3 linked regions of the Saccharomyces cerevisiae S288C genome follow. The protein of the gene in region 3 interacts with the protein of the main gene of each other region in a pairwise test. Each region holds a gene or a part of one and is shown on either strand. Other genes may lie near its edges.

The links.
Region 1: the proteins of ATX1 (region 3) and PRO3 interact in a protein complementation assay, tested with the Saccharomyces cerevisiae proteins (one large-scale study listed by BioGRID).
Region 2: the proteins of ATX1 (region 3) and PSA1 interact in a protein complementation assay, tested with the Saccharomyces cerevisiae proteins (one large-scale study listed by BioGRID).

The regions. Positions count from the first base shown.
Region 1 is NC_001137.3:199,565-202,601, reverse strand, and holds PRO3 (pyrroline-5-carboxylate reductase), read right to left. Parts: upstream 1,527-3,037; coding exon 666-1,526; downstream 1-665. Other genes in the region: carnitine O-acetyltransferase YAT2, read right to left, coding at 1-410; SRB4 (Srb4p), read right to left, coding at 1,727-3,037.
Region 2 is NC_001136.10:355,037-358,656, reverse strand, and holds PSA1 (mannose-1-phosphate guanylyltransferase), read left to right. Parts: upstream 1-1,897; coding exon 1,898-2,983; downstream 2,984-3,620. Other genes in the region: transcription factor MBP1, read right to left, coding at 3,279-3,620. UniProt on the Saccharomyces cerevisiae protein: Involved in cell wall synthesis where it is required for glycosylation. Involved in cell cycle progression through cell-size checkpoint.
Region 3 is NC_001146.8:156,979-159,765, reverse strand, and holds ATX1 (copper metallochaperone ATX1), read left to right. Parts: upstream 1-1,900; coding exon 1,901-2,122; downstream 2,123-2,787. Other genes in the region: DSL1 (Dsl1p), read left to right, coding at 1-1,657; ribosome biosynthesis protein LTO1, read left to right, coding at 2,419-2,787. UniProt on the Saccharomyces cerevisiae protein: Copper homeostasis factor that specifically transports copper to the secretory pathway for incorporation into copper enzymes destined for the cell surface or extracellular milieu.

The sequences.
Region 1 (3,037 bases), on a different chromosome or scaffold from region 3:
CTATCAGCTTGAGTGATGTTTGGCAAAGCGTCATCTGCGAGAACCAAGAAGGGATTCCTGGGTAGGACATCGTCCTGAATCTCCCTAGTGGAGGTCTGGTTATTGATGTCTAAGTGTAATTCATCAAGGTAGCAATCCCTAGTGTCATGGTAGCTCTGTAGTTTAGATTGCAGCTTCTCACTTACGGGATTCTCTTCAAAATCTCTTATTATGGATGACAGCTTCTCAATTTGTTCTGGATCTAAAGGATGTTGATAGTAACCATCAGCATAATACAATGGCTCTAAACTCTCCTTCAGACGCTGCAAAGTGTCACAGAGTTTAGGTAATGGTAACTTGGGTAGTTCTTCCTCATGCTTAAATGTTCGCCCCGACTTGTCAGACGAAACAATAGTACTGCCGCTTGACATGGTTGCTTAGTTTTATTTTAATTTTGATTTTTGATTTTCATTTCAAATGAATCAATTGCTCTTACTCATTACAAACACATTTATATAATTTTTTTCTTTTATACGCTCCAATTAGTGTCATTATTATGGGGTAGTCATTCATCGTGATGATTCATTATCGGACCGACGGGAAAATGACGAAAAAATGCAAGGTCAGTAATAAAAAAATAATATACGGCTACAAAGCGAACATACATACATTTCACGCAAAGCAATCTATTTCTTCTTTTGGCCTAATTGTGACGCAACACGGGCTGCCTCTTCAACACCATTGATAATACCGCTCTTGACGCCCTTTTCTTCCATTACGCACAACCCGGCAATAGTTGTACCACCTGGTGTGCAAACTTGATGCTTTAAAACGGATGGATGAGCACCGCTTTTCTCAACCATCTTCACTGTTCCTTCTAGAACTTTCATGGCACACTCCTTACTCTCTTGTAATGGGATTCCCAATTTCAACCCACTCTCCATCAAGGATTCTAACATCAAGAGAACAAAAGCGGGGCCTGAACCGACTAAAGCCGTAGCAGCATCCATGTTCTTTTCTGGAAGCTCAACGTATTTACCAACTTGGCTAATCAATTCGTTGACCAGTGGCTTTTGCTCTTTGGAAACATCAGCTGAGTAGGACACCACCGCACAACCATATCCGTACTTGGCAGGTGTGTTCGTCATAACACGGCAAACAGTGCTAGTGTATTGACTCAATTGGTCAATTGTCCAGCCAGCAGCCAGGGAAATAAGTAGCTTTCCCCCAATGACGCTCTTCACACCATTCAACACTTCTTCGGCCAAAAATGGCTTGGTACCAAGAAGAACTACAGAAGCTTCTTCGACAGCGCTCACGTTGTGACCGTAAGTGCTTTCGACTTTAATACCGTTAGGAGATTCGTCGAATGTCTCAACTAGATCGGTAACTTGTTGTGCACTAGGTTCATCATGGTTACATGTGATAATTTTGGAAGGGTAAAATGCAGCAGCAGTTTCATCAGCCGCCTTTGGAGCATTATAAATGGCGGAAAGAAGTGCTTGGCCCATAACACCGCAGCCTAAAATTGCCAATGTGTAAGTCATATCTGTAGTTGGTTTGTTTGCTATTGGTGTTGTGTTACTTCTATTGTTGTTACACCGTTCTTAACCTGGCAATGTTATTAAATCCTTCATATTCTTGTTTTCGAAGATAAGATCTTGTCCTTTTGTACGTATGCGACTTTATATAGTAATAAATGGCATTCTATGGCAATGTATGTAGGTTTAAGGAGTGACTCAGGATATTACACCTTCTTTTGCTGGATGTACTCAGCGACAATAAAATGTAGGAAGTCCTCTACTTCTTTAAAATCAGAAAATGTTGTGTCAAAGGACACTGCGTTGGCTTCCGTACCAGCTGAAAACTTGATGTGAATGAGTGCGTTACAATAGTTAGGACTTTCGAGCATTAAACTTAGATTAGGGCTTTTGTGCTCAGTTAATGGTAGATTTATTTTGAGTTCACGTCTAGGTATATTCAATAGTTTATCGAAGGCACGGATCTCTTTATTTAATTTAGTTATATTTTCATCATCAATGTTTTTATTTTCTTGAGGTTGTTCTCTCTCAACTTCCGTTTCTGTTATACTTGAGCCAGGAACTATATCGAGCACGTAATCCTTTATGATTTTTTTTAGTAACAGTTTGTAATTAGCAAACCGAACTTTACCAAGAATGGGACGTATTATTAAGATATCATCGTCAACATTCAAATTGATCAGTCCGTGGGGTGAGCTTATTCTCGATCGTAATGTTTTCTTGAATATAACGACTAATAATAGTCTCAACATAACAAGCATTAAATTTGCTCTCTTGTCGTTGATTTTTGGTAAGTCTTGTTCATGATTGACAATGGAGTCATCGTCAAGGGACAACAACTCGATTTCAAATTTTTCGTTAGGTAGTTCAATTATTACCTTGTTTTCGTTTTCAATACTGACACCATAGGAAATCAACAAAGCGCATTCTTTCTTTATTTGGTACATCAGTTCTTTTTCAAAAATGATCTTTTTCAAAAGTTGGATTTGCTTTCTGATATCTTTCGTTTCAGCTTCTTCACTTTCACTATCCCTATCCATCACACTTTCGCCACTCAATATGTAATCATCTTCTGATTCGATTTTTGTGAAGATACGAACCCTTAAGAATTTCTTTACTGAATGTACGAAATCAGTGCCTTTGAACACTGAACTACTGTGGGGTATCAAATCCAAATTTTGTGATTCTATATTATTCCTTATATTAGCAATACCTCTGTCATGCTTATAGGTAGATCCAGAGTCTTCGTAACCATACTTAATTGCCAACAGCTTTTGACCACTAGTCCTGTCCCTAATCTTAAAAATAACATCCTTGTTGCTAATACTCTGCATTATCTTATTCCAATAGTCATGTTCGTTCTGTAATATGGAACTCAGTTTATTAAAACTTGCGCGTAGGAGATCTTTAGATTCGTTTAAACTTTGTAACTTCCATCCCTTATTCAATATATCCAACTCGATATATTCTTTTTTTGTAGGTGCAACATATGGAATTTTATCACTGTTTAAACTAGA
Region 2 (3,620 bases), on a different chromosome or scaffold from region 3:
TCTCGTTTAATATCTTTAATCGCATCATCTATAGTTCCTAATTCTGCATTCCTAACACTGTAGCCTATCCAGCAAAATCATTCCCATTTTCTCTTTATATGTGCCTAGATTTTAAAATTTTGCTTAAGATGATTTACATTGAGGGGGGAAACTTGCTTTATCCGCTCCTCCAATTGATTCAAGAAGTATGGGCGCTGACCTACCATCTCAATTTCTTGTTTCACTCGAGAATTGTCACTGAGATAGTAAATGTCTAGAGAATCCTTTGCAACAGGAGATTTCAAATTTATATTCTTTGTGTTCGCATTCGCTTCCCGTCTGTTACTCGTTCCCTTACCATTCTATTATGCATTGCAGATCTGCCAAGTAAAAAAAAAAATACCTTGGTGTACACACCACCCATACATTATCTGACAAGGAAACAAAAGTAATGACAGTAAATTGAAGAACTTGTGATGAGCCAAAAAGAAGAATGTGTGCACTTCTTTTCGTATTTTTATGGTAAAGCCAGTTGGTGGCTTTCTTTGACGATATGAAACCCAGGATCCCATGCTGCCTATGTTGCATTTATGTAATTGTCTGTATGAAGCTCGCATTTTAGAGTTACTACTATGTGCTTTCTATGCAGTTGCTTGCCGCAGCCAAGACGTAGAGATTTCTTAGACGTGCTTTTTATTTCTTATGAAAGTAAAGAGTGTGTATACAACGAACTATGTTAATAATTAGTAGTACCAGAACATTGACTTTCGTAAGGACCAAACGGCATCCCTATCTCGGAAGAACACCACATGATGCAAGTTCTCCTGCCTACGAATAGTTCGTCAGGTGCCAGCACTGAGACCACCCAAACTAAAGGCAATCGAAAACTATACCACGTTTATCGTTATGTTTCGGCGGCTCACCTTGTATCAACCTGCTTGGCAAGCTGCTCTGCGAGGCTCCATTTTTTTACATTTTCAAGAGGAGTACATTTCACCTTAAAAAACGGCACGGAGAAAGCCTAAACTTGGTTGCATATACGCAATTACAAATCTTTTATAACTACTTCTGATTCTGTGCACGACGTGCCACCCGGTACAGTTCAAAGGTCACTATACGCACTGTCGATCGAGCCAACCCAACCCACAGAACATCCTAAAGCTTCAAATCGAAACGCGTACAGTCAGCATTCTTCATGCTGCACCCGATCCTTCTTACCGCGTGCTGGGTGAAAAGCAAGACTAAGAGCAAGACCCTTGGATAACGGCACCAAATGGACTACTTTCGTCCTTTCCTGCAACTCTGACTATAGCTTTTTCTATCATTGCCTAAACCAAACCGTCCACGCCACCTCACCAGCAACGCACAGCATGAAGAACGCGAAAACAGAAAAAAAAAACGCCAAAAGAAACGGCCACCGTGTACTTGCTGGCCAGCTAGAAATGCCTCGGGAGCCACCACGTTTATTTTTATCTCAATCTCTGAAAAACTTTTTTTTCTTTGTTTTTGTCGTTTTTCAGCATGAACAGCGCAGCAATAAACAAACAAACAAACAAACAGACGAACAGACACAGAACCACAGCTGACCGGTAGTAAAGTAAGCTGGTGGTTTCTCGCTTTGTTTTCTTTTTTTCCTTGCCTCGTGGCGCTCTTGTAAACATATATATAGTAGACTTTTCACGTCATTGTTAGAAGTTTCACATAGTCTTGTTTTCTTTTCTCCAAAACTGTATTTTTTTTTTCTTTGTCTATCTTGTTCTCACCTCTTTGACTTTGATAACGTTCATCAAGTGTGCAAACTACTTTACATTCGCTAACTCTTTTCTTCTGTCCAAATATTTTGTTGACTATACAAACAAAATATTATCAGCACAAGACAAGCTACAACTTCAACAAATAAAACATATATAATTGAAAAATGAAAGGTTTAATTTTAGTCGGTGGTTACGGTACCAGATTGAGACCTTTAACTTTGACCGTTCCAAAGCCACTGGTTGAATTCGGTAATAGACCAATGATTTTACACCAAATCGAGGCTTTAGCCAACGCTGGTGTTACTGACATCGTTCTTGCTGTTAATTACAGACCAGAAGTCATGGTGGAAACTTTGAAGAAGTACGAAAAGGAATATGGTGTTAACATCACTTTCTCTGTAGAAACTGAACCATTAGGTACTGCAGGTCCATTGAAATTGGCTGAAGATGTTTTGAAGAAGGACAACTCTCCATTTTTCGTCCTAAACTCCGACGTCATTTGCGAATATCCATTCAAGGAATTGGCTGACTTCCACAAAGCTCACGGTGGTAAAGGTACCATTGTTGCTACCAAGGTCGACGAACCTTCTAAATACGGTGTCATTGTCCATGATATAGCTACTCCAAACTTGATTGACAGATTTGTTGAAAAGCCAAAGGAATTTGTTGGTAACAGAATTAACGCCGGTTTGTACATTTTAAACCCAGAAGTCATTGACTTGATTGAAATGAAGCCAACTTCAATTGAAAAGGAAACTTTCCCAATCTTGGTCGAAGAAAAACAACTATATTCCTTCGATTTGGAAGGTTTCTGGATGGATGTTGGTCAACCAAAGGACTTCTTGTCTGGTACCGTTCTTTACTTGAACTCTTTGGCCAAGAGACAACCAAAAAAATTGGCTACAGGTGCCAACATTGTTGGTAATGCCTTGATCGACCCAACCGCTAAGATTTCCTCCACTGCTAAGATTGGCCCAGACGTGGTTATCGGTCCTAATGTCACCATCGGTGATGGTGTTAGAATCACCAGATCTGTTGTTTTGTGCAACTCCACCATCAAGAACCACTCCTTGGTCAAATCTACCATCGTAGGCTGGAACTCTACCGTTGGTCAATGGTGTCGTTTGGAAGGTGTCACTGTCTTGGGTGACGACGTTGAAGTTAAGGACGAAATCTACATCAACGGTGGTAAAGTCTTACCTCATAAGTCTATCTCCGATAATGTTCCAAAGGAAGCTATTATTATGTGAGTTAGGAAAACGAACTGTAATGAATATAATCTATATCACTCATCTGTTTTTGTTAATTTTATTTTAGCCAATATCATTATAAAAAGAGGAAAACATGCACAGAAAAAGCACTGCTTACTGTTATGTCTTAGTTTGTAATTGAAAATGAAAAATAAAAAAAAAAAAGAAAATAAAGAAAAAAAGGTTGATCCTTATGTAACTTTTTATTTACGTAGAAGTTAATAAATATTATCTCATTGTTTTATCTATTTTTCAGTATATGGATACATGTAAAGTTCCTCTATTTATGTATATTTTATGCATGACTATTCGCGTTTGAGATTGTGATGATCTGTTCTGCGCCCTTATTTTTATTATTGTTGGCTATCAATGTCTGTAGTATTACATCCAGCGAACTATCTACTTCTTCAATATTCATTTCCGTACCTTCCCTGATAATCCGTCTATATTTATGAATCTTGGCATTGTCTTCAAATTTCTTCACCAAGGAACTCAATTTGTTTTTCCTTTGTAATTGCAACATCGTTAGTTCTTGAGCCAATTCCAACCTTTCCAGCGTATTATTATCTTTCTCAACTGTGTTATTGGTGGTAGCCTGAGTTTCATCTTCTATTAATTTGTTCAATAAAACCGTTTG
Region 3 (2,787 bases):
TATGAACCTTTCCAGGATTGTAAGCATGATCAAAAATTCTATTTTTATATCTGGTAAAGAAATCTCATATGAAAACGAAAAAAACATACTTGTCTTTTCTAAATCCTCTTCGCATGGCCAACATTGTGTGTCTACTGTATTAACAAGTTTTGAAGCAGTATGCGATTTCATGTTAGACGGATTAGCCTTTAGAGACAGAAAGACCTTAAGTTATGAGCTAGGTCCCTTGTTCAATACGGAGTTTACCAAATTTGTGAAAAATAATGCATCGATAATTTTAGAATCACTTGATTCACCGCTAAAAAATCTAGTTTCTGTCATAAATAACAAACTAACTAGACTAGTTGCCAAATCAGAAGTTACCAATTGGACACATTCCGGTAAAGAGATTCAGGATTTGTTAATGAACAAACAATTATACTACAATTTATTACTAGATAAAGTTCTTGAATCGCATATTAGTGAGATAAGAAGTATATTTGAAGATCCAAAAAAGAGCTGGCAAAATTTGGAAGTAGTTGAGCTCACTACTAGCAATACTAATACGATGAGCGAAAAAATTGGAAAAAATGATTCAGATGTACAGAACGAAAAAGAACTCCATAATGCCGTATCCAAAGATGATGATTGGAATTGGGAAGTAGAGGATGATGATGCCGATGCATGGGGTGATGAAATTGATGTAAATATTGACGACGAGGAAGAAAAAACAAATCAAGAGAAGGAAAAAGAACCAGAAGAAGAAGAAAATGCCTGGGATGAAGCCTGGGCAATTGACGAAAATATAGATGATGCTTCCCTAGAAAATGGAAAGGAACATTTAAAAGCTCATGATGTAGGATCACTTGATAAAGACCACATTGAAGTTACACAGTTACCAAAATTGTTCTTGGCAATTTCACAGAATTTCAAGAGTAGCTTTGCAGATAGCCATGTTGATGAGCAATACTTTGCGTACAAATACAACCTTTTGCAGACATCGTATATGGCCATGTGCACAGCTAATTTTTCTCACAATTGGTGCCAATTATATGTGGATATGAGATATCTAATAGAACGAGATGAAAAGCTGTATAGAATAAAAGAATTAACAAGGAACCTGCTGGAAACTAAACTGAACATGAAATATCGTATTGTCTGTCAACTAATCAGGCATCAATTGACCGAATTTCGTGAGAACGAGAGAAATCCATCGTGGGACGCCACCATTGAGAAACTGCTACCTTATATCTTGAAGGAAATTGTTCGTCCACTGCAGAAAATAAGAGGTGAAGAAGGTTCCCGTTACTTGTTGTCTTTCTTAAACTTTTTATATAACGATTGCGTGACAAAGGAAATATTAAAATGGCAGATTATCTCTGAGGTCAATTCCGAAAATTTGGGTGAGCTCGTATCTTTATTAGTGAACAACACCGATATACAATTATTAGCGAAGGAACCAAGTTACAAAAAGATGAGAGAAAAATTCGCCACTATGGGCAAGTTTCTACCATTACATTTAAAGGAGATTATGGAGATGTTTTACAATGGGGATTTTTATCTTTTTGCGACAGACGAACTAATCCAATGGATAGAGTTATTGTTTGCCGACACTCCCCTGCGAAGGAATGCCATTGATGATATTTACGAAATTAGAGGCACTGCTCTAGATGATTAAAAAATAATTAATCGTAGGATAGGTTACATGATCATTGCAATAGATGTACATCTTGTATTACGTATGCGTAAGTTGTCTTTTTTTCAGTTTTCTAATAAATTTCACGTGATGCGGTAGTTTTTTTTGGGGGTGCAAAGTTGGCACATCTTGTAGTGCATTTTTGAGCTTCTTAAATGACTTGAATCATCTTAAAACATTGCAGGATGAGATTTCCAACGACACAAGAGAGAACTAGCGCAAAAGATGGCAGAGATAAAACATTATCAATTCAATGTCGTCATGACCTGCTCGGGATGTTCTGGTGCAGTCAATAAAGTTTTGACGAAATTAGAACCAGACGTTTCCAAAATAGATATATCCCTTGAAAAGCAATTAGTAGATGTATATACTACACTTCCTTACGATTTTATTTTAGAAAAGATTAAGAAAACCGGAAAGGAAGTTAGATCTGGCAAACAATTGTGAATGAAAGTGAAGAGAAATAGTTTTTTACTCTATTTTGTATTGTAGCTACTTAAGTAAATGATTAATATTCTCAATAGGATGCTTACGAAGAAAAAAGTCTTTTTTTATTGTTTTATTGTTTTATTCTTTGTTGGCTATGTAGCCATTTGCCTTTTCAGTATAATCTTACTAATATAAAAATCTCAATCATGGTGAGAAATCGTTTTATAAGAAAAATGAAAAAAAACTTGTTTAAATCAAATCACTTATCATATTTGAAGAGTAAATGGAAAGTAAAGATCACTGGACAAATAAAAATGGATTTTGATAATTTACTAAACCTAGAAGAACAGTATTACCAAGAAGGTTTTCTGGAGGGCCAGAATGAGAATATAAAGCAGAGCTTTCTAGAAGGTAAACAGTATGGTTTACAAGTGGGATTCCAAAGATTTACGCTCCTGGGACAAATGGAAGGTTTGTGTGATGTTATAGAATCGTATGGATTGCATAGTCCAACACTAGAAAAGAATATACATACCATTCGTACTTTAATGAAAGGTTTGAAAATGAATAACGATGATGAAAGTGTGATGGAATTTGAGAGGGTGTTAATAAAATTGAAAAATAAGTTTAGAACCATTCTAATAACTCTTCATCGATTAGTTAAAGATAAAAGAACCCCCACC